Rhinolophus ferrumequinum: one gene and its partners. The protein of the gene in region 1 purifies or fractionates together with the protein of each later gene. This does not show direct contact. Links are inferred from orthologs where the notes say so. Each region holds a gene or a part of one and is shown in the gene's direction. Other genes may lie near its edges. The genes, in order: SDC2, AMPD2 and CAMKV.

Evidence for each region.
Region 2: the proteins of SDC2 (region 1) and AMPD2 purify together in Homo sapiens (co-immunoprecipitation; 3 studies listed by BioGRID and IntAct, counting the BioPlex papers as one, with this or other methods). This does not show direct contact. The link is inferred for Rhinolophus ferrumequinum from reciprocal best matches to the Homo sapiens genes SDC2 and AMPD2.
Region 3: the proteins of SDC2 (region 1) and CAMKV purify together in Homo sapiens (affinity purification with mass spectrometry; 3 studies listed by BioGRID and IntAct, counting the BioPlex papers as one, with this or other methods). This does not show direct contact. The link is inferred for Rhinolophus ferrumequinum from reciprocal best matches to the Homo sapiens genes SDC2 and CAMKV.

What each region holds. Positions count from the first base shown.
Region 1 is NC_046297.1:38,339,379-38,346,330, forward strand, and holds the start of SDC2 (syndecan-2), read left to right. Parts: upstream 1-3,848; 5' UTR 3,849-4,390; coding exon 4,391-4,450; intron 4,451-6,952. UniProt on the Homo sapiens protein: Cell surface proteoglycan which regulates dendritic arbor morphogenesis.
Region 2 is NC_046305.1:41,758,440-41,765,762, forward strand, and holds the start of AMPD2 (AMP deaminase 2), read left to right. Parts: upstream 1-4,305; 5' UTR 4,306-4,315; coding exon 4,316-4,628; intron 4,629-7,294; exon of another isoform or gene 7,295-7,323. UniProt on the Homo sapiens protein: AMP deaminase plays a critical role in energy metabolism. Catalyzes the deamination of AMP to IMP and plays an important role in the purine nucleotide cycle.
Region 3 is NC_046300.1:6,610,615-6,617,823, forward strand, and holds the start of CAMKV (caM kinase-like vesicle-associated protein), read left to right. Parts: upstream 1-4,121; 5' UTR 4,122-4,314; intron 4,315-7,209. Other genes in the region: uncharacterized protein LOC117037109, read left to right, coding at 1-820. UniProt on the Homo sapiens protein: Does not appear to have detectable kinase activity.

The sequences.
Region 1 (6,952 bases):
CTACCTGTCCACTGTTACAATGAGTTATTATTAAATACCATAATGACAGAGTCCAATGTGTCAGAGTCCAGCATGGTTAAAAAATATGTCCTTAGAAGCTTTCAGTCCTAATATTTCATTTTGTCTGGTTCCTTTTAATTCGTTGTTGTTGTTTTTTTGTTTTTACATTTTTGCATCTCAGTTTCTGTTTATTTGTTATATTTTCTTCTGAGATTCTTGAGGTAGGTGTTTATTCTTTCAGCAGCCAATGAAGCTATTTGGGGAGTGATTGGTTTTGATATTTTACTTACTGTGCCCCTCAAAGCACAGCCCTTAAACAGAAGACCTGAAAACACATATTTGTGAGGAACTTTTGGCTCTAGTCAAAAGCTACACTTAGTGTATTAGATATAATCCACAAAATTCTACTGAACTTTAGTCCTATCAGTTGAAAAAATGCAATTAGCAAAACACACAAACAGGCCACTATAGATGTTTGTGTCCCCCCCAAAATTCATATGCTGAAATCATAATCTCCAAAGTGATAGTATTTGGCAGTAGGGCCTTTGGGAAGAACTTAGGTCATGAGGGCTGTTAAAAAACAAAATTCAGGGTGAGCTCTGAACAATAGGGTTGCCGGTTTGATTCCCACATGGACCAGTGAGCTGCTCTCTCCACAACTAAATTGAAGACAATGAGCTGCTGCTGAGCTTGAGCTGTGGCTGAGCTCCGGGAGGGGTAGCCCGGAGGGGTGGCCAGATGGCTCAGTTGATTAGAGCACGAGCTCTCAACAACAAGGTTGCCGGTTCAGTTCCTACATGGGATGGTGGGCTGTGCCCTCCACAACTAGATTGAAGGTCAACAACTTGCAGCTGATGGGCCCTGGAGAAACACACTGTCCCCCAATATTCCCCAAGAACATTTGTTTTTTAAAAAAACACACAGAAAACAAAATTCAACTGAGTAAATTTAAAAGACCTTATTGGCTTTATTCAATGATTCATGAATTGGGTAGCATCCCATCTAGCAGCTAGAAAGGAGATCCCAGGCGCTGTATAAAGTGAAAGGCTTTTATAGGCAGAAGGCGGGAAGAGTGGATTGTTTCAGGCAAGGCCACCTTCCTTTAGGGGAAGAAAGGGGTCTGTCAGGTGGATGACCTCACTAATGCTGATCAGGAAATTCCAGACTGACTGGTTAAGACAGCATCCCTGGGAGCTCCTGAAACTGCAATTAGGTTAGGTATTAAGTCTTGGTTTGGTGACATGGGGCTTAGCACAAGTGACTCCATTTTGGGCCTGTTGTCTCTTTTTTACCAGGGCTTAATCTCATGAATGGGATGAGTGCCCTTATAAAAGAGGCCCCAGAGAGCTTCCTGCCCTCCTCTGCCATGTGAGAACACAGTGAGAAGAAAGCCATCTATGAACCAGGAAACTGGGTCTCACCAGACACTGAATCTGCTGTTGCCTTGATCTTGAAATTCCCAGATTTCAGAAATGTGAGGAAAAAAAATTCTTGTTTATAAGCCACACAGTCTATGATGTTTTTCTTATAGCAGCTCAAACATACTAAGACAAAGGCCTTTGTCATTTCCAACATTTAGACATATGCTTAACACCAGAAGATATCCCGTCCCCGCCCCCTACCCTACTTAGCATAAGCAACTTTTTTTGTATCCTGTTCCTGTGCAATTGCTTTCACTATTAGTGATTTTCATATGGTCAGATTATTCTTTTGGCCATAACTGTTAACACATTTGAACACAAGATCTTGAATATTTATTTGTTATCATACACCTCTTATGTGTAACTGTCAAAATTATACCATCCCCTTATTACATATACTCTTAATGCTGCATAATCATTTATAAAGAACAAGTCACTCAGAGTCTCATAAACACCAAGAGCCTTGGAATTTGTGCACAGATACATTCCTTCAACAGATACACCTGATTATTCAATTTTATCAATTTCTGCCCAAGCTGAATGTTAGGTGGTTGCCCCAATAAACAGAGATAACTATGAGAACCAGTGAATAAGTGCATTTTCCCCTTTTATTGGAACTCTAATTTATTTGATGTATTCTTAACTGTTGGAGAGAATAGGGGGTGTGGCCTTGCCTGAGGCTGGAGAACAGACTAACTCTCTTTAGGGGGGAGAAGTGACATTTTATGACTCTTTGCAGTTGTCTCATGTTGCTCATTTTTTTGGAACCTCCTTTCCGAAGTCTCTCCTAATGAAATTCTTCAACCCACAAAGAAAACCCACTTCTTAAAAGTATGGCCATGGTTCCTTCTTCCAAAAACCAAGCTGGGCCCACATTGACCCACAGGTGCCAGCTCAGTTTCTGTGGAATCAGAAGTATTTTGTGTTACAACTTACAACTTCCTGATCTGTTTCTTTTCCTCTTTCTCATTTGGTCACTCTTCTATTTCTCCATATTACCCTTTTGGCTGCCAATGCCTTAGATTTGCCCATGGAAGCTTGGTAGTTGGCACTCAAAAGCAAAGAGCTGGATCTCTCCAGCTTTGAGTTGTAACTCTATAGTTCTCTAAATTTCTTTGAGATTTATTACAGTGGAAGGCTTCTAAGACATTGCAATTCTCACTTAGAGTAGGACTATTTTTTTCTACTACATACTAAGTTCAAAAATTACCATGGCCTAATTTCTATATATCTATATCTATGTATCTTAAAGGCTCACAATTCTCATGCAGTATAGATTCAGTTTTAGATCAAATTTATTCAAGAAATATTTATTGTTTTATGTACCGGGAATGAGAAAACAGTGGAGGACAAGACAGAAAGGTCCCTGGTTTCCTGGAGGAGTCATTCTAGAAGCAGAATAGCTCCATAATTCATTGATTTCATAAGTCAGAGAGAAACATAGTATTAGAAACTGGAAGGAATTATGCATTTGCCATGCTCTGTAGTATACCATAGACAAAGAATTGAAAAAAAAATCATACCAAAATATTTCAGATCAATTACTTTCATTCAGGATATACATGCTCATTATTATCTTCAAACTAGAAATTACTTTATCCTCTTTTCTTTGACGTTCTCTTAAATCTGTTATTATTCAGGGTCTCCATCCAATTTCTCATCAAATTGCCCTATTTGTAGCTTCCAAACGTTAACACCTCTATGCTGAAATGAAGCCTATAAAATGCCTTAAGGGCTTAAACTGTGTGTGAGGCAGAAATGGTATTTAAGCCTTTAATTAAATTATGAGCTTTGAAAGTGCTGCATTTTGAGTTTATAGGGGTCTTCCTCCAAATCTTTCTCTCTCTCTCTTTCTCTCTCTATGGCCGGGTTAGGGAGGGTGGGAAATACTCTTAATACATGTGTTTTGCCTTTTTTGTCTCCTCTTTTAAAATACAGCTTTCATGAATTGGAGATTTGTGAACACTGCTTGAAGGCATCTGTAAACTTTGTGTTTTTCCAACTCTCAAAGCAGTTTCTTTCCAGCAGTCTAATTCTCACAGGCAGAAAAGCTAAATACGTCTCTCGTTGTTTCGCCGATCTTTCTCCGAAAAAAAAAAATTTTTGAAAAGAAAATAGAGAAGAAAAGAGCACGGAGGACGAGAGAGGAAAAGCGGGGAGAGAAGGGGGTAAAGGAGAGAGAAAAAGAAGGAGCACCAGACTACTGAATGCGGACGAGCAGACCCAGAGCAGCCGAGGCGCCGAGCCGCCGGCGCCCACTGGTCCCCGGAGCTGCCAATCGTGGTGTAATCCCGTAGGAATTTCTCCCGGGTTTAGCTGGGAGTCACCCTGCCGCCTCTTCCCCAGACGCCCGGAGGAGCCAGGAGAAGCCAGCTCCGGAGGGAGGGAGGGTGGCAAAGAGGGAGGGAACGCGAGGAGAGGAGGAGTGGAGGTAAGGAGGAGGACCAAGGGAGGGAGGCGGCGGCACGGAAGGAGGAGCGCAGAGGCTGAGCCACTAGCTGCACTCTGCCGCGCTTCTCTCCAGATAATCGGGGAGCTCCTGCCGCGCGCAGCGCGCCTCCACGCTCTGCCCCCAAACTTGAGTTGCAGCTACAGTCCAAGCCATTAAAAATATTCCTCAAAATCAGAAGCTGAACCGCGACACGGAGAAGGAGTCCGCGGAGGAGTAAAACAACAGCAGAGCAAGAAGAGATCCAGAGAGCAGCCTCCCCGGAGCAACAACTCGGCGTCAAGAGTGCAGAAACCAACAAGTGAGAAGGCGCTGCGTTCTCGGGGCGCAGCGGAGGACTCGGGAGCAATCACAGGAGGAGGCAGCGAGTGCCTCCGAGGCCGGAGCGGGAGCCCTCGAGCCCGAGCCGAGGTCGCCGCGGCTGCTCTGCTCCAAGTCTCTGCGCGGGCTGCGCCGGGTACTGGGCAAGAAGCTTCATTTCTTCAAGTGGCGGCTGGGAGCAGCCGGTCCTCGGAGGAATATGTGGCGCGCTTGGATCTTGCTTACCTTGGGCTTGGTGGCCTGTGTATCGGCGGAGTCGGTGAGTAGGCCAGGCGAGGGTCGCGCGCACCGTTTAGGGTGCTCGAGGCCGAGTGGAGTCCGCAGCGCCCGCGGGAATCGGGGAGCGCCACCTGGGGGTTCCCATCGCCCGAACACCCCCACACGCGGCGCTCGTCCCCCGGGGAGCTACTGGGACAAACGCGCTTGCTCCTCCATCCGTTTCCACTTTCCCTTCCCGCAGAAAAGCGCCGCTCGCTGGAGTTGCCCCGAGATCCCTGGGGATGAGGGCGCAAGAATCGCAGTTTTGTCAAACCGCAGAGGCCCCGAAGTCACTCCCAGCTTCTTCGCCTTGGGAGGGTCTTGCTGCCTTGCCCGGGAAGGTCTGAGAGGAAAGGGTGGCCGAGATGGGAGCCCGCATAGGGCTCGCGGGGCAAGAGGTCCTCTCCACGCACTCCCCGAGACCCAGGGTGACCTGTAAACTTTGAGGTCCCTTCCTCCTCACACCATGTCCCCACGACAGCTTTCCTACTCGATTGAATGTAAGTTCTGGGGAAGATGGGGCCCTGATTTAAGAAACCCGCGTGTGTCGGGAGAGGAAAGTTTGCAAAAGTTCTTTTGTTTGATGTTTCCTGTGGCTGGGGCGAGGGAGCAGACACTACGTGGAATCGTTGCCCGCGGAGGTGCAGTCCACGGTCCCGCGGGGGCGGAGCGGAATGGCCGGAAAATGCTGGGGTGCCGGCCGCTAGAATCCCGGTCTTGCGGCGATCCCCTGCTCCTTGAGGGGTGGAGAACGGCCGGCGCGGACTCTTAGGGGCAGGAGGACATTTTAATACGGATTACACTGGAGTGCAGCACACAGGGCGAGGCGGGGTGCGTGTGACACCGGGTCGCCTGGCAGCTCGGGGACCGAGGCTTCCAGTCCGCCATGCTCGCTGTCGCGGGCCCTGGCTGGGTGCACCCCAGGCTGAGAGGACTCTTTTCCCGCCGGGGCAGGCTGCGGGTACTTGGTTTCCAGCAGTGGGAATTTGGTTTCTCCTTCTTTGGGTGGGTTTCGGGGGCTGGAGCTTCTTTCCCTATGTCGCCCAAAGAGCGCCCTCTAATGGGAACTGCCTCCCGGACTTCCCCTGGTCTGTGAAGGCTCCTACTTGGGAGTCCAGAGCTTTGTCTAGCTAGGTGGAAGCCCGAGCACCCCCGATTCCGTCTGCAGCCTCAGTGCCGTCTGGCGCCTGGGTTAGGGAGTGCAGCTGTTTCTGTTCCTTGTAGTTACCCATATTTCTTCCCTTTGCCACCTAATACCTTATCCGTTTCTGATAAACTGAAATATTTCTTCGAAGAGAAATAATTTCATCTTTAGGGGTGGTTTTGTGAGTTTTCCCCCTTCCCTATGGAGTGTTACTTCCCCCTTCTCCCTTTTTTTGAGTTGAGGCAATTTAGCATTGGGCAACCTCTTTGGCACTGAGCAGCAGATGGACATTTTTCATCAGCGTGGGAGCCTCTGTGTGGGCTAGCAGGTCTCCAAACGTTACAGGAGATTGGAGAGCACGTAGATTTGCATGAGTGTTTGGGTGCTCTGGCAGTAAAACAGAACTCTGAGCCTTATCAGTATTATTTCTCTTTGGCAAATGATCTTTAATCCGTTGGGATAGGTAATCTCCCAGCCAGTTATGAACTTTGGCTTTTGTACACAAAAAGGGAGATATTCTGTTTATTTCAGAAAATCCTAAATGCTCATCATCTTGTTGCAAAACAGGGCAAAGGGAGAATTCCATCTAAAGGTTTTCAAGAGAAGCCTGCCTGAAAAGCTGTACAGAGTTAAGGAAGTCTTTTTTTGCTGAGACTTGTTCAGGATTTGCTGGGAAATGTTAGTCTTTGGGGAATCTAGAAAAAGACTGTATCTTCTGCTTCTCTGGATTGTTGCATAAATGGGACAGTAGTGCTCCTTAAGGAAGTTTTTTGGTTGAACTATATGTGTCCTCCCCAGTGGCAACTCTTTCTCCCAACTCTGTCTCCTTGGGGTTCTTATATTTCTCATTTCCAACCAGAATTGGATGCTTTCCAAGTGAGCAGCTTTGCTTAGTAGATACTGTTTGCAATAATTGGAATATCATCCAAAAGCGTGATTAGATATTTTTAAAATGTCAATTTAGAGACTCTAGCAGAGTCTTTGTTAGGCAATGAGTCAGTGGTTCTCAATACAAGCTGTTTTAAAGCCCAGGATGGCTAATAGTCCGTATAAATTACTTTTCAGTTTTTATGTTTCATGTGTAGCAGCATAAATGTATGCAAAGTTGAAAGACATAATTTTTAAACGTTAAGCCATTATAGCACATTATTTCCAGTACTTTGCATTTTAATTTGAAAACTGCTTACTGTTTCCTGGGAGTAAGAAGTAGTGATGGAATGAGCTTAAAGTCTCTCTTTAAAAGGAAGAAAGGAAAAACATTTGCAGTTAGTGAATTCTTTAGTTTAAACTAAGCTCAAGGGGAAAAAAAAAAAAAGATTCTCAGGAGCCAAGGCTCAAGGCTGTCTGAAGAGGAACTGG
Region 2 (7,323 bases), on another chromosome or scaffold:
AGGAGGGCTGGCTGCTGGGAGAAGCTGAGAAATGAGCTGAACAGCTTAGTTCTGGAAGGATCTGGGCATAGGGTATGGTTTGTGAAATTTTCCTGGCCAAGAATCTTTTTAAGACTGCAGGTGTTTTCTCCCAAGTCTAATATTTGCGGAGAGTGGTCTGGCGCAGGTAGGAGGCTGACATCGTAAGTGAGCTGCAGGCCAGGGCTAAGAGAAGCAGTTCTTGCAAGAAGTAAGGAGTGCATTGTCGTCAGTGGGGACCTGCGATTCAGGGAGGGCCGTTTAAGGAACCATCTGATGAATAGACTAGGAGGGGAAGAAGCTGTGTTTAGGTCCCAGAGGCTCAAAGACATCATTAAGGCCCCAACGTGAGGTTGTAGGGAATGACTCACTCCTTCATTTCCCAAACTCTCTTCTACACAGACAATGGAACCCCACTGAGCTGTTGCTGGTGTTATGTAGGTGGGGAGATTGCTGCTGGGTGTAATCAGGGCAGATTTCCCAGCAGGGACAGTATACCAAATGGCCTGGAAATGTAGGCGAGTTACACGGTGAAGGGTGTGATGCACGTGGGACTAGGGAGAAGCATGAAGGGACGAATGAACCGGTTTGCCTGGGCAGGGTGGAGGGCAGGGATTGCCATCTGTGGGCTGGTTAGGTAGGTAAATAGGTAGGTCTGGATTAAGGGGGAGTCCTGAAGAAACCTGGCGCGATGCAAGATACCACTGCTTAAAACCGTCAAAATTTGCATTTTTATTAGAACATAGTTGACATTCTACTTGGTTACCTGGTGCTTGATTTTTAATTTTGAGATTTATTTTATTACTCATTGTTGGGAGCCCAACAGCCTCAACATTCCTCAGGGCCCCAAGATCAGTTTAGTCTGGGGTTATGACCCAGGAGGGTCTACTGGGGATGGGGTGGAGGCTATTACCGATTTTTACAGACTTTCGTTGTTTTCCAGTCCCTTGATTATAAAAGTAATGGATGTTCATTGCAGACAATTTTTAAATGCAAATAAGTATACAGAGGAAAATAAATAATAACCCACGATTCTGCCTCTCACAGGTATTCATTTGTAAACTTCTTGGTGTGTTTATTTTCTATGCATATATGTCACATAATTAGGGCCATATTGTATGTACAGATTTTTACATCCATTTATTTTTCACCTAGCGTTACATTGTAAACATTTCCTCCTCAGTAAGAAATTCTCCAAGGACAGCTGTATTTCACTGTATGTATACAACATAATTTAAACGTTTCCCTGTTGGGCCTTTAAAGTTGCCAACCTTTCTGTGTGATAAACATTGTAGTGGTGAAACTTTGGGCATGTTTCTCTGGCAGCTCTTTTTAGAAGAATAATTTCCTGGAAGTGGAATTACTGGGTCAAATAATATGAAATTTTAAAAGATTCTTGATCATATATTACTAAATGGCTTTCAGAAAGATTGTGCCAATGTTTATGCCCCAGTGGTATATGTGTGTGTTCCAGCTCACTAACTACACCCTCATCTGCATTAGGACTTCCCCCCCCTTTCTTCCACCTTCCCCTCCCCACTCAGGTTCAAGCCGTTGTTTCTCAGTCTAGTTGTGTAGGACACAGCTCCCTGGCCCATGCTCGTGTTGAGCCTTGCGCTCCCCCCGGCTGAGTCCGCTGGTCGCTGGTCGACGGTTGCTGGTCGTCAATCAGTTGCTCACAGCATCATGGCAGCTCTCGCTGGTTGCCGGCCACTCATGATGGCTGCCAGCCACTCACGATGGCTACCAGCTGCTGACGGCAGCACACAGCAGCCCACGGCAGCTCACGATGGTTGTTGGCCACTCATGCTGGCCGTGGCCGCTCATGGCGGCAAACAGTAGCCCATGGCAGCGCACAGCAACCCACGGGCTTATGCCAACCTCCAGCTGCTCCCGGCAGCCCAGCTCCAGGGAGAGCTGTTGTTCACAATCTTAGCTGTAGAGGGCGCAGCTCACTGGCCCTGGTGGGAATCCACTCAGCTACCTCGGCGTTAGGAGCACAGTGCTCCAAACACCCCAGCCACCGGGCTGCCCAGAACTTTTCCCCCCCTTAATCTTTGCTAATTTGATGGGTAAACATGGCATTTCCTTGTCCTCTTTTCAATTTTATTGATTCTTTGTAAGGTGAATTTTTCCTCCCCCGTGTTTATGAAGACCATGGCTTTTTGAGTTGCCCAGCATTAGGAGCAGTAGGCAGGGATCAGTGGAGGTGAGAATAAGGTTCAGGGTCCAGCCTGGGGAGAGTTGGGAGAGGCAAAGTTTGGGAAGGAATTTGGCTATGGGGGTGGTGAGAACTAGGAGGAGCTGGATAAGCAGCGTTTGTGCAACTGAGTGTGGGGGGGTAAAGGGCTCCCACAAGATGGAGAAATAGGAAAAAGATTAATTGCTGCTAATACACTTAATTATGTTCAGTGAAGTCTTCGGGACTTTCCCTTGTAAGTTCCCTTTAGGTATGATTTTCAGCCACTTGAGAGTGGAGATGCTGGTTGGGCGGTGTATCTGCAGTCCCCACAACAGACCAACTCCACTTCTTTATAGGCTATAAGGTGAATAAACCTCTGGGAATGTTAAAGCCAAGGCCAAAGCAATAATACACAAATATTAATTGGATAGTAAAAGGTCAGGCACTGTTGTGAGCAGTTATATTAGCTCATTTATCGAAAAAACCACCACAAAGCAGGGTTTCTTACACTCATTTTATAGATGAAATAGAAATTCAGCTAAGAAATAACTTTCCCAAAGTCAGTCAGGAAGTAGGTGGAGGAGTCTGGAATTGAACCCAGGCATTCTGGCTACAGAGCCTAAGCTCTTAATCAACAAATATAGAAATAAATGTGGGAAGGGGAGCCAGAATGCAAGGCACACCCTGCCTATCTATGCCTGCCAGGAGGAAACAGACACCCACAGTGAGAATGCTGGTGTAGGACTTCTGCGAAAAGTGAATCTTGGGGCAATGATAATAGCTACCTTTCATTGGGCACTTATTTTGTGCCAGGCACCGCGCAAAGGTGGTGAACATTTATCCTCACAATAACTCCTTTGAGTGAGGTAGTGCGATTACCCCATCCCATTTACTGACGAGCTGACGCACAGAACTTGCACCGATCCGACGGTGACGACTGCGTAGTGGCTGCAGACCACGTGGCGCCGGGATGAGGAAAAAATGGCGGGGGCGGGGCCTGGCGGCCCGGGCGGGGCGGGGCCTGGGCCCGCGAAGACGCGCGGCGGCACTGGTCAGATTTCGGTGGGGTCGCACCTGTTGCGTGACTACCCCACAGTCCAGCTCCAGGAGGCCGACCCCGAATATCCAGAGAGTGTGGAGAGAAGCCCAGGCGAGTTCCGGGTCCCGCTGTCCCGGGAGCACGTGGCCTGCTCGCCTCTGGAGTGCGGGAGCTGAGGGGTCTTCCAGGCCAGTGCTGCGGCCAAGGTCGGCGGGGGCCCGCCTCCTGACATCCGGCAATTTTGAAAGACTGCCTTACTTCCCGCCGCTCCGTGCCGGGGCAGGGGCTCTTAGAGCGACTTGGTGCGGGTCTGGGCCCCAGCCCTCATCCCCTTCCTCGAGACCCGGGCTTCCCGGCTGTGCAGACCCTGGCGGGCAGCCTCCCCGCTCCCTTTAAGGGCTCGGGCAGCATGGCCTCAGGTGAGTGTGTGTGCCTGTGTTGGGGGAAGGGTCTCTGGGATAGAGACGTGCAGTGTCCTGGCTGACGAGGGTAGCGGACTGAGCATAGCCCGCAGACGTAGCGAAGGCGGCCAGCTCCTCCTGAGCAGGGCCTGGGAGAGCAGAGCCTGAGTGTGGAAAAACAGAGAGGAGGCGGGAGACGCCGGGTCTCTTTCCCAGACCCTCAGAGAAGCCCCTGCCTCCTGGCCTCTCTGCCTTCCGAGAAGGTAGCTTCTGCTGGACAGTGGAATTTTCCCAAGACAGGCTACTCCCTACCGGGCTGGGATTCTCCGTTCTACTCCATCCTCCCAGAGCTGCGCTACTCTGGGGCCGGGGTTCAGATAGAGAAGGAAAAAGGGGATTCTGCCCTAGAGGGACTGGGTGTTCACGGACTGCGCCTGCCCTGGGCCGAACGTATTCTGAGTCTGGGGGAGCTCACGCCGGATCCTTGTTTATTATTATATTTTTCTCTCACGCTAGCTAGTCCAGCTAGCCTGGACTTTGAGCCCTCGCCCCAGAGTCATGGCAAGGGAGGCGGGTTCCAGGGCTCCAGAGAGAGGGTTAGTGGCGTGCTGGGTGCTGGCTCTCTACGATCTTGTTCGCACCTCCATCCCTCCCCAGGCCCACGTCACTCCTGGGATGAGGGAGGGGAAGGGAGGATTAAGGGGCGGGGATGGAGGCCCCTCCTGGAGGTTGCCTAGACAACAGAAATCGTGGCCAGGGCCTCTTCCGCTGGCGGGGCCTCTGCTTCCTGCATCACTCACTCCCGCTGGGGGCGGGGCGGAGGAAGGGGTTGGATGTGGCAGAGCCAGGCCCAGCTGGTGCGGCTCAGACTCCCCCGCCATCTCCACGACCAGAGCCATGGCATCCTATCCATCCGGCCCGGGCAAACCCAAGGCCAAATATCCCTTTAAGAAGCGTGCCAGCCAGCAGCCCTCCTCTGCAGCACCAGGTGAGTGTGTGCATCCTGACCCAGGCACTGGCTCTGCTCCACCACTTCTGGCCCAGGCCACTGGTCCCCTCAGAGGGTGGGGGGGTGTGGGGGGGTGGTTCTGCACCCTCTCTGCTGTGGTGTGCCTCGTCCTCGGTCCCAGGGACAGCTGGCTTGGGAGGTGGTGGGGGGAGAGAGGTGGGGTGGACGTTTCCATGTCAGGGATGCTATCCTTGTAACGGAGTGGGCATGGGTGTGGGTGCAGCAAGAGGTGTGTTTGCACACGTGTCAGCGTGTGGATGTGCTAAGGCTGTTTGCATGGAGAGTGTATGAATGGAGTGGGGGCTGAGTGGGACTGACTGGTTTGCAGAGTGGCCACAGTGCTAGCAGCTGTGCCTTTGCCAGGCAGGCTCAGGCTGTCTTCGTATGGCTAGTTCCTCTTTTTAGGACCCCAGATCTCTGACCCCTCATCGGGGCTCTGATGTTAGGGCACACTCATTGACACTGGGATCCCAAGGCCGGGGGCGCAACTGTGATCGTTTGCTGTGTGCTCATTCCTGGTCTGTCTCGTGAGCGTCCCCAAGAGTATTGGTGTCCTTGGGCCGGACCATGCAGGGCTCAGGCTGGGCCTGCTGCCCACCCGCAAGTGCTCCAGTACCCTTTGGTTCCGGCTCCCACTCTGGTAGGCATCTCTGCACCATTTGGAGCAGGCAGCCTGGTACGGTTGTGCCCAGTTCCCTAAGGGCTCGGCTGCCTGGGTCTGCTTTCTAAGGGATATCTCCCTGCCATCTGCTGTCCCCAGGTCTTGTGGCTGAAGAAACACCACCCCCACCTTGGTGACTAGCTCAAGCCAGTCTCCCCCTCAGCAGCTGTCTGTACCTAGCCTGACCACCCACCTCCTATGTTTTCTTATGCCATTGAAGATGCTGGCCTGATCCGTGCTGTCCTGAGGGTCTGTGTTTTCTGTGCCCAGGTCTGTGCCATCCAGAGGGTGTGTCCGCCAGGGCCAGATCTGTACCTTTGGGTGGTCACATGGTGGGAGCATCATACTTGTGGGTCAAAGCCTTGGGCACCTCGCTGCCTACTGAGGCAGTCCTGGCAGTGAGTCCTGGTTAAGAGAGTAGATGGGATGGCAAGAATCTTGGAGTTGGTGGGAGTGGTTGGCTTTTGGTCAACTATACCCTCCCTCCCCTTCCCCCCGTGTGATTTTGTGTGTGTGTGTGTGTGTGTGTGTGTGTGTATGTGTGTGTGTGTTGCTGTGACACAGACTCTGGGAGAAGGGACCAGCAGACAGCAGCTGGGTTTTCTAGGCCCGGCTGCAGGGAGTGTGGGGGTTACTGCCTGTCTGTCACCTCCAGTGAACCCCGGCAGCCCCGTGCAGTGGCCTGGCAGGCTGGGGGGATGGCTCTGGCTGCTGGAACCTGTCCTGGTCACTCCAGCGTTTCTATGGAAGCCCTGGGCCATCCTGATAGGAGAGGGGGTTGAGATGAGGGCCTTTGTCTCAGCTCCTGCTGAGCCCTTCCAGACCACCCCTGGAGGTCTGTGGTCAGCGGCCCGTAGAGGGGTTTTGGAGTGGGGAAGAGTTGTGTAGAATCAGAGTTCTTGGGCAAGCAAGGACCTCAGGCTGTGTCTTACATCCTAAGGGGTGGAGCAGGTGCTCATCTTTCCTTCCTCTTCCTTCGCTGCCCTCTTACAAGTAAGAGATAGTATCACCACCCCCATCTCCACCCCTGCCAGGTTCTGTTCTCTTTGCTGCCGTTCTCTGCTTGGTTGCCTTGGCCTGCCCTGGGCCCAAGAACCTCCCACCCTCCCCGGTGGGTGGGATGTGTTGGGAGGGTCCCAGGAGTTCATAATCACAGATTATCGTGTTTGACTGGATACTCGGAGCCAGATCTGTGTAAGCCTTGCGGCAGCTGTGGCTAGACAGGACAGGACCCACTTATCACCCGCTTATAGACAGGACTCGAGTCATCCAGGAGGTAGAGACTTGCTAATAAATGGGAACAAAGTCAGATTCAAGTCCTCCAAATTTTAGTCCCTCTTCTCCCAATTGTCCCTCTCTTCCTGGGCAATGTGTCCATCACAACTGAAACGGGGGTTGGAGGTCTAGGGGACCATGAACCAGTCGCGGGGCGTCATGGTCCCTGCCTGGACTGAGCCACTTCCAGGGCTGCCAGCCAGCTCCTCTCCCAGGCAGAGGCCCTGTGTCTCCCGAGGGACCCCATAGGCAGGGCCCCAGAGGACAGGCAAAACAAGGCCACTGGGCAGAGGAGGATGGCCTGGGGCTGCTGGGTATAGAGACAGGGGCTGCTTGCCCTCTTTCTTTGTACTCCTCTTCCCCCATCCTTTGGCCAGCCAGATTCTACCTACTCACTATACACTGGGGCAGTACATTTTAAGGAGCCTTGGCCCCTCCCTGCCAGCTTAGGGTGACCTGCCCATATCAGCCTACCCTGTTCCAGCCCCTTGGGAGCCCCACTTTGGGCTGGGCCCTGGCACTGTAGAGGTTAAGGCCCTGTTCATTTCTGGGGTTCCTCATATCTCCGTACTTTGATGCTCCTTCCCTTGATTTCTGGGCTTTCCTGAGCTCCCCCAGCCCCCTACTTGCCGTCATCCCAGGGTCTCCCCTGTATGCAGCTGCACTTGGTACAGCCCGTGCCGGCCCCTGAGCTGTCCTGGGGGACTGGTTGCAGCTCCACTCAGCAAACAGGCAGGC
Region 3 (7,209 bases), on another chromosome or scaffold:
CAGGCTAGGCATGCAGCCTGAACAGCTGGCAGTACTTGTGGCCGACTCACCCGTCTCCCCGAGCACCAACCGAGAAAAGGTGGCCGAAATACTCTTTGAGCGTTTCCATGTGCCAGCCATGCAGACAGTGCACCAGGCCCTGCTGGCGCTCTATGCTTATGGGCGAACCACTGGGCTGGTGCTGGGCAGTGGCTATGGCACCTCCTATGTGGCACCCATCCTCAGTGGGGATCTGGCCCCACGTGACATCTACCGGCTGGATGTGGCTGGTGCTGACCTCACTGAATACCTGGCTCAGCTACTGCTGGCAGGTGGGCACTCACTGCCCAATGCAGGGCTGGTCAACCAGATTAAAGAGGCCTGCTGCTACGTGGCCATGGATGTGACAGCTGAGATGGCCCGCACCCAGGGTCAGGCCGGGGTGGACTTCGTGCTTCCAGACAAGCAGGTCATCACGCTGGGCTCCGAGTGTTTCTGCTGCCCTGAGGCCCTCTTCCAGCCCAATCTGCTAGGCCTCAACCGGCCAGGCCTCGCACAACTAGCCCTCCTAAGCATCAGCCAGCTGGAGGCCAAGCAGCAGGAGCAGCTGCTGGCCAATGTGGTACTAGACGGTGGCAGCACCCTGGTAAGAGGCTTTCCTGAGCGCCTGAGACAGGAGCTGGGCCCCCGTGCCACTGTGCTGGACTTGCCCCACCGTGTTGCTGCCGCTTGGATTGGAGGCTCCATCATGGCGTCCCAGGACTCCTTCCAGAGCCTGTGGCTCAGCCGCCGTGAGTATGAGGAGGAGGGCCCATGGGCCATCTACAAGTACCATCTGTGAGCACATAAAAGTTCTGGTTCTGCTTATTTTGAGCACTGTGGCATGTTTTAGGCCCAAGGTGGTATGGAAGGGGCAGGAGTCCTGGCCCAGGGTCAGGGATGGCGGCCTTGGCACTCCTAAGGCACACCCTGCCTCTGCACACTGGAACTCCATGGGTCCTGGCAGCCTTCTCTAGAGAGCCCCAGAGCCCCTTGGCATTGGCTTTGGTCTCGCCTGACAGGTCTCGCCTGACCTTTACTGAACCCCAAGGGCAAACACAGAGAATGGCTGCTGTGGGTTTTGCCCCGTTGCCCTGGTGACAAGCGCAATTACCCTTGATTGCCAGCTGGTTGCCATGGCAATTTCAAACATAATGTAATAACCCACACAGCCTGGAGTGAGTCATGGGGGGGCAGCCCCCTCCCCTAGCACCAGAGGAAAAGACTACTTGCCCTCCCCCATCTTGGGCCCTCTACAGGGGGGCTGAGACCAGCAACATAGACGACAGCCCCAAAGTTCCAAAGATGGCTGGGGGCCTGGAGCATTTTGTGTACCCGAGGGACAGTCCCTGTCAGAGTCTTGGCTTCTTGGGGTAGCTGGCCTGGTAATGCAGGTACCTCCTAAAGTCTGAACCTTGGCTGGAGCTCTACACTAGGTTGGCAGGGGCTTCTGTCCACCAGTCAGAATACGAGGATATAGGAGTGCTGGCTTTGGTGCCCTGGAGCAGGAAGTTGGGGTAGGGGGCAGATAAGTCCTGGCCCCTGGGGATGGGGTACGACCTGAGCTGGGGGCTGAGGCTCTGGCCTGCTTTGTGTGCTCTATGGATACAGCAGCTCGCGCCTTATCCTGCTTCTCTGACTATCTAGCTCTGGTGGGAGCCAGAATAGTCAACTTTGGGCTCTCCTCCTCTTCAGCCTTCCAACCCAGGCAGCCCCTGCCCATAGTGTGGCCAGGGTACAGGCCTCCTCAGGAGATCCTCATAAAGGATACCGGGCAATGCCAAAGCCAACTGCTCTTGCTCTTACCCCAAACTGCCCCGTGTTAGGGCCTCCCGCTATTCCTCTGGCGGGGGGGTGGCTAGAAGCCACGGCCCCTGACCTTGTCTGGCTCTGAAAGGGGAGGTAGGAATGAAGCTCTGTCGGCCCAGTCCATAGTCTGGAAGAGCACTCAGCTGGTGTTGCTACTTCCTGCCCAGAGAGGGCAGTTGGAGATTGAAGCCAAAACAATGAAGCCCTGCCTTGCCTGTGCTTCTCTGGTTGGAGACTGAGGGACAAGCCATGGCTCAGTCTCAACCCTGGGTTCTTGTCTTTAGGTTACCCTCTCCACAGAGGGCAAAGACCTGGCTACACCTCCCTGCCCTCCCACCCCACTGCCCCCCACCTGAGAGTGAGGGGCTACCCTAGGGGGATGACTAGAAACAACCGATGACATAGGGTCATCACAGCCCCTGCCCGCCCCTGGGCATAGTCCAGCCTCTTCCCATGTCCTGTCCTCACAACCCTGATTCAATCTCCACAATCCCAAGGCCTGTGTTAGGCAGGAAGGGGACCAGTGTCTCCAGGGACCAGTGGCTCCAGAGACTAGCTACAGCGTCCGTGAGCACGTGAGAGCAAGCATGCCTGGGTGCACACAGAATGCAGACACACGTGCCCCTGGGCCCCACTGCACACACTGTGCTAATGCCTTCTCCTTCAGCATAAGAGCGCAAACACACAGACACACTTACACGTGTGCACATATACCCTGCCACGTGCTCTCACCCACAGACACATGGAGTGTGCACAGGACCAAGAAGAGGTGGAGCACTGCCAGCAGGAGGCAGGGCTCCCGCAGCCACCTTTTCCCCTGCCTCTGAGTGCCCTGTTCCAGCCTCTCCTCAGTTCAGCTTCTCCATGCCTGGATATCCATGACCTCAAGGTCATGGAAAGACAGAAAACACGTGTGACATGTGTGGGGTTGGCAAACCATGGCTCGGCTGCACCATCCAACTCAGAGAGCCATTGTTTCAAGGACAGCGGGCAGACAGGAGGCAGGACTGCATGCTAGGCTGTCCCTTCATTCTACAGACAGGGACTGAGCATACTGAGATGAGACACAGTCTCTGCGCTGCAGGTGCCCAGCCTGCCAGGAGATTCCCACCCAGTAGTGGGATTGGTGCCATGACTGAGACCACTCAGAGGTGGCACCAGCCTGGCCTGGGACAGGTGACCCAAAGCCAGGGAAGGAAATGAAGGGCTCCTCAACAATCCCTCTGTAGGAAGATATAGAGGGGCCTTGTTTGAATAGTCATTTGCCAGGCTAGTCCTTCAGCCCCAGCCCCAGCTTCCTCACACGGGCAGTCACTCTGTCAGCAGCACGGGGAGCCACGCAGGGGAGCCGGACTCAGTATGGTACAGGGTTTGGAGATGGCTGCACCCAGGATGGGGTCAGAAGGCTCACTGGAAAGGTTGGGTTGGGTGGATCCCCCAACTCCAGGCACCGAGAAGCCTAAGTCTGGCCTTCAGATAATGGCCTCAGACCTTGTGAGGGGAGCAGGGCAAGCACTGGGTCCACAGAGAAATGGCCAAGGACTTCCTTTAAAGCTTCTGCCTGGTAGTTCTCAGCCTCCTCCAGTCAGTGGCCGGGTATGGTCAGGGGCCAGGTCTCCTGTATCCCCACATCCCAGCCCAGGCCGTTGATGGTGATTCTGCTCATGAAGTGTTTGAGGGTGATATAACTGGGAAGAAAGCAGATTCCACACCATGCCATAGGTGACTTTTATAGCTTGAGAAATTCAGTGCTACATAGAAGGGACAGACTGGGCCAGCCACCCTGGCTGGGACTTGGTAATGGGAAAGATTTTGGCCTTGCGGGAATGGAGGTTGGGGTGGAAAGGAGACTGCCACCATGGTCTGGGCACAACCCACTCCTAGTTACGGGTTGCTACTCTATAGCGCAGCTTGCGCTAGCGACTGTCCACTTGGTTCTTCTAAGCGGGTTCCACCCTTAGGGTCAGGTTTTGGGAGCTGGGCAGTGCGCCGGTCCCCCGGGACACTACCTGCCAAGAGATTTCCTGTGCAGCTTTAGGACTCAGGCTTTCCCCACACTTCCCACTCCCCAGCCCCTACAATGGGCATAGGAAGAAGGCCCCTCCATTAAGCCCTGTGGCGCAGTCAGTCCCAGGGCCTAAGGGAGCCCTTTGAGAGCCTGGCCCGGGCCGGGCAGCCCAATGCTCACCGACTCCGCTGCCACCCCTGGTCCGCCTGCATTCGAGTGGGATTCGGGCCTTAAGCTCGGCCAGGGTCGGGGCGGAGCCGGCTGAGGGAGGCCCCGCCCCCAGCCCGCCCCCGGCCCGGGGTGCAAATCCGGTGCGGGCGAGCGGCGGGAGATGCTGGAGGTTCGCGAGCCCAAGCGGCTGCAGCTGGCGCCGCGTCTGGCCCGCGTGCCCGGAGCTGATTCTGCCCGCTGACCCCGGAGCCCTCGGAGCCCCCACTGAGCCCGCGATCGCTTCTTCCTGTGATCAACCGGCGCTGCAGGTGAGGGCGGGCCGGGCGGGGGAGCGTCCCTGGGACGCACGTTGTGAGGTCTTGGGGGATTAGGTCTCTGGTCGCTTAATGTACAGGGGCCCCGCGAAGGCTTGGGGCCCCTGCGGGGGCAGAGCACACAGGCTGTGCAGATTTGGGGGTCCGCGTGCGGGGTTGGGCTAAAGTTGCCTGTCACCTCTGACAGCTCGGGGGTCCCAGGGGAAGCCTCTGAGACTCAAGTCCAGGCGAATCTCCTCTTCCTTGCTCCCCCCGCCCGCACCTTGTCCACCCCGCCCCCGTCTCGCTGGGCTACTAATTGTGAAAACATTAACCCTCGGACATTCGTGGTGCCCCATGGCGGGGGGCGGAGGGGGGTAGGGGCCGAGGGCTGAGTGGTCCCTCCTGACTCCCAGAGCCGCCTCCAGCCCCTCCCAACTGCTCCCGCCCCCCTCCCTTTCTCAAAGCAGTCACTAATTTCCATGACAACGGAGAGTTCTTTATGGGCGACAACCTGGAGGGGGCTGGGCGGGGCTGCCGGAGTGGGGGAGGGGGCTTCAAGCCCCTGGGGACCAGCAGCGCCCGAGGCAAGATCCAGTTTTCAAGCCTTAACTTGGGGCCCAGCCGGGGTCCAGGACACCGACCTAGCGCTGGATGGTGGGGGTGGGGGACACATATGTCTCTGCTGGGTGGTGCGGGGCTTGGTGCTCACACGTGTGCCTCCCGCATGTGTGTTGCTGTGCCAGCGGGGGCGAGTCAGCAGCACTGGGAAGGGGGTCAGGGTGGCACCGCGGTGGGAAGCAGGGCTGTGGCTGGGGGAGGTGGACAATAAACCAGGGAGTTTCTGCCTTCCCCAACCTGTAATGTCTGGCAGAGACCCTAGGCTCTCCCAGCCCCCCATAGCTCTGCCAAACTGCTTTTGTCTGCACCCCTTAGGAAAGCCTGCTCCACCGGGTTCTCTTCTGGGGAGCAGGGCCCTCTGTCCCTCACCAAAAGCTCAGTCTACAGCAGTCCAGCTCCTGTCCTGCCACCCTCCTCCAAGGCCCAGCCTTTGAACCCCCCAAGGACCACCTGCAGAGACCTGGTGCCCTCCCCTCTCATTTGATTCCTGTCAGCTTTAGCCGGCTGTTGGGCCTCAGTTTCCTCATCTGGGATAATGGTGTCTCCACTTCCCTCAGTGTCAGGCAGAGGTCCCTCTCCTTTCACGGCATTGGGTGTGGACCCCCAGGTGCCATAGGCTACCTTTCCCATATCCACCTCTGGCCCTCCTATCCAGCCCATATCCTGGCCACCACTCACTAGCAGGCAATCAATCAATCCTTGCCCTGGGAGAAGGCCACTGAGTCCGTGATCTCCATCCAGGGAAACTAAGGCAAGGGGAGGTGGGGCTGTGCAGTTGTTTTCCTGTTTCTAGGTTGCTTAGGGTGCTGTTTCTGGCTCTCCTAACAGGATCCACTGTTGGGAGGGGGACAGCAGTGGCAGAGAATTAGGCTGAGCTGCAAGAGGGGCCCTGGGGACCTAAGGCCTAGAGAGGATAGCAGAAGGGGGCTGGGGGTGTGGCTGGGGAGTCCAGGTGTAGCTGGGCCAGCTGAGAGGAGGGCTGTGAAGGGAAGCAGCCAGGTCTCCGAGCTTCATTTCCATCCCCCACGCTGGTGCCTTCCCCACGTGGGACCTGCCTTACCTAAGCTGCTGTGATGACAGGGAGAGGGGCTGAGGAGCTGCTCTGACTTAGGCGACTGCAGTAGCTGGCCTCTTCCTTCGAGCTAAGGGTGCTTCCCACACCAGGTTCCCTGCATGTCTAGGGCGTATAGGAGGGTTCAGTCTCAAAGTCCAGGTACCAGGCAGCAGCTCCTGGCCCAGGTGTTCAGAGCACATGGCCGTGGAGGCCCTAGGGCTCTGTTGGGCACCCACAGGCGCCTTCAGAACCCGATGCCCACCTTCCCCCCCCCCCCACCCTTGTGGCTGCATCCTTTTTACTCTGTCGCCTGTTTGCTTCCCTTCCATCACAGGTTGTGCCTTTGTCTCCCTGTGGCCATGTCTCTCTTTCTCTTTTTATAAGTGTCTCAGTACCTCCACCTCCCCTTTCTTGATAGGGACCAAGGTCACAGAACCCATGGGGAAGGAACCAGGTCAAAGCCTCAGGGAATTCTTCGAGAAGGGGTTTGGCCAACACTTCTCCCTCCCCCTCCTCTTGTTTTAAAACTTCCATCACCATTGTAACCCTTTGCTCTAGAGCCTTCCCCTGCATTTCCCCTCCTCCACCCACAGGGAAGCAGGGACCCCAGGGAGTTTTCCTTTAGGGATTCAAAGGTGCCCAGGAGGGGTCAGCTGGCTCTTGACTCTGCCTGCATATGAGGGTTGAACTTTCTGATGGCAGCACTGGACGGTATACCCACCCCTGAGACTGGAGCCCGCCCCCCACCCCCACCCCCGCCACACACACACACACACACACACACACACACACACACACTCCCTCATTAGATGGCAAAGGGTCAGCAGCAGGAACTATGGACCATGGTTTAGCTAGAGCATGAGGCCCAGCCAAGGCAGCCCCCTGCCCAGTTTTCTGAAGCAGCTGGAGGGTAGGCCAGAAGCTCGGCTCTGCCTCCTGACACCAGACCACGAGAGTGAGGTCTCTATTTCCCCTGGTCCTGCGGGTGAGGCTTCAGCAGTGGGCCGGCAGGGCTTGGGCCTAAGCGTGTCCACTGCAAACCCAGCCCCAGTCCCTGAGAAAGGAAAGCAGGGAATGGGGGGGGGGGTGCCCGCAGGCTGGTGTTCACAGCTGCCACTAAATCGGGAGGTGTTGCCGACAGTTGTTGGGAGGCAGCTGGAGGCCTCCTGGGCCCCTCCTGGCCTCCCCAGATTTGCTGCAAGCTCTGGAGCCCCACGTGGCAGAGGAGCAGGGCA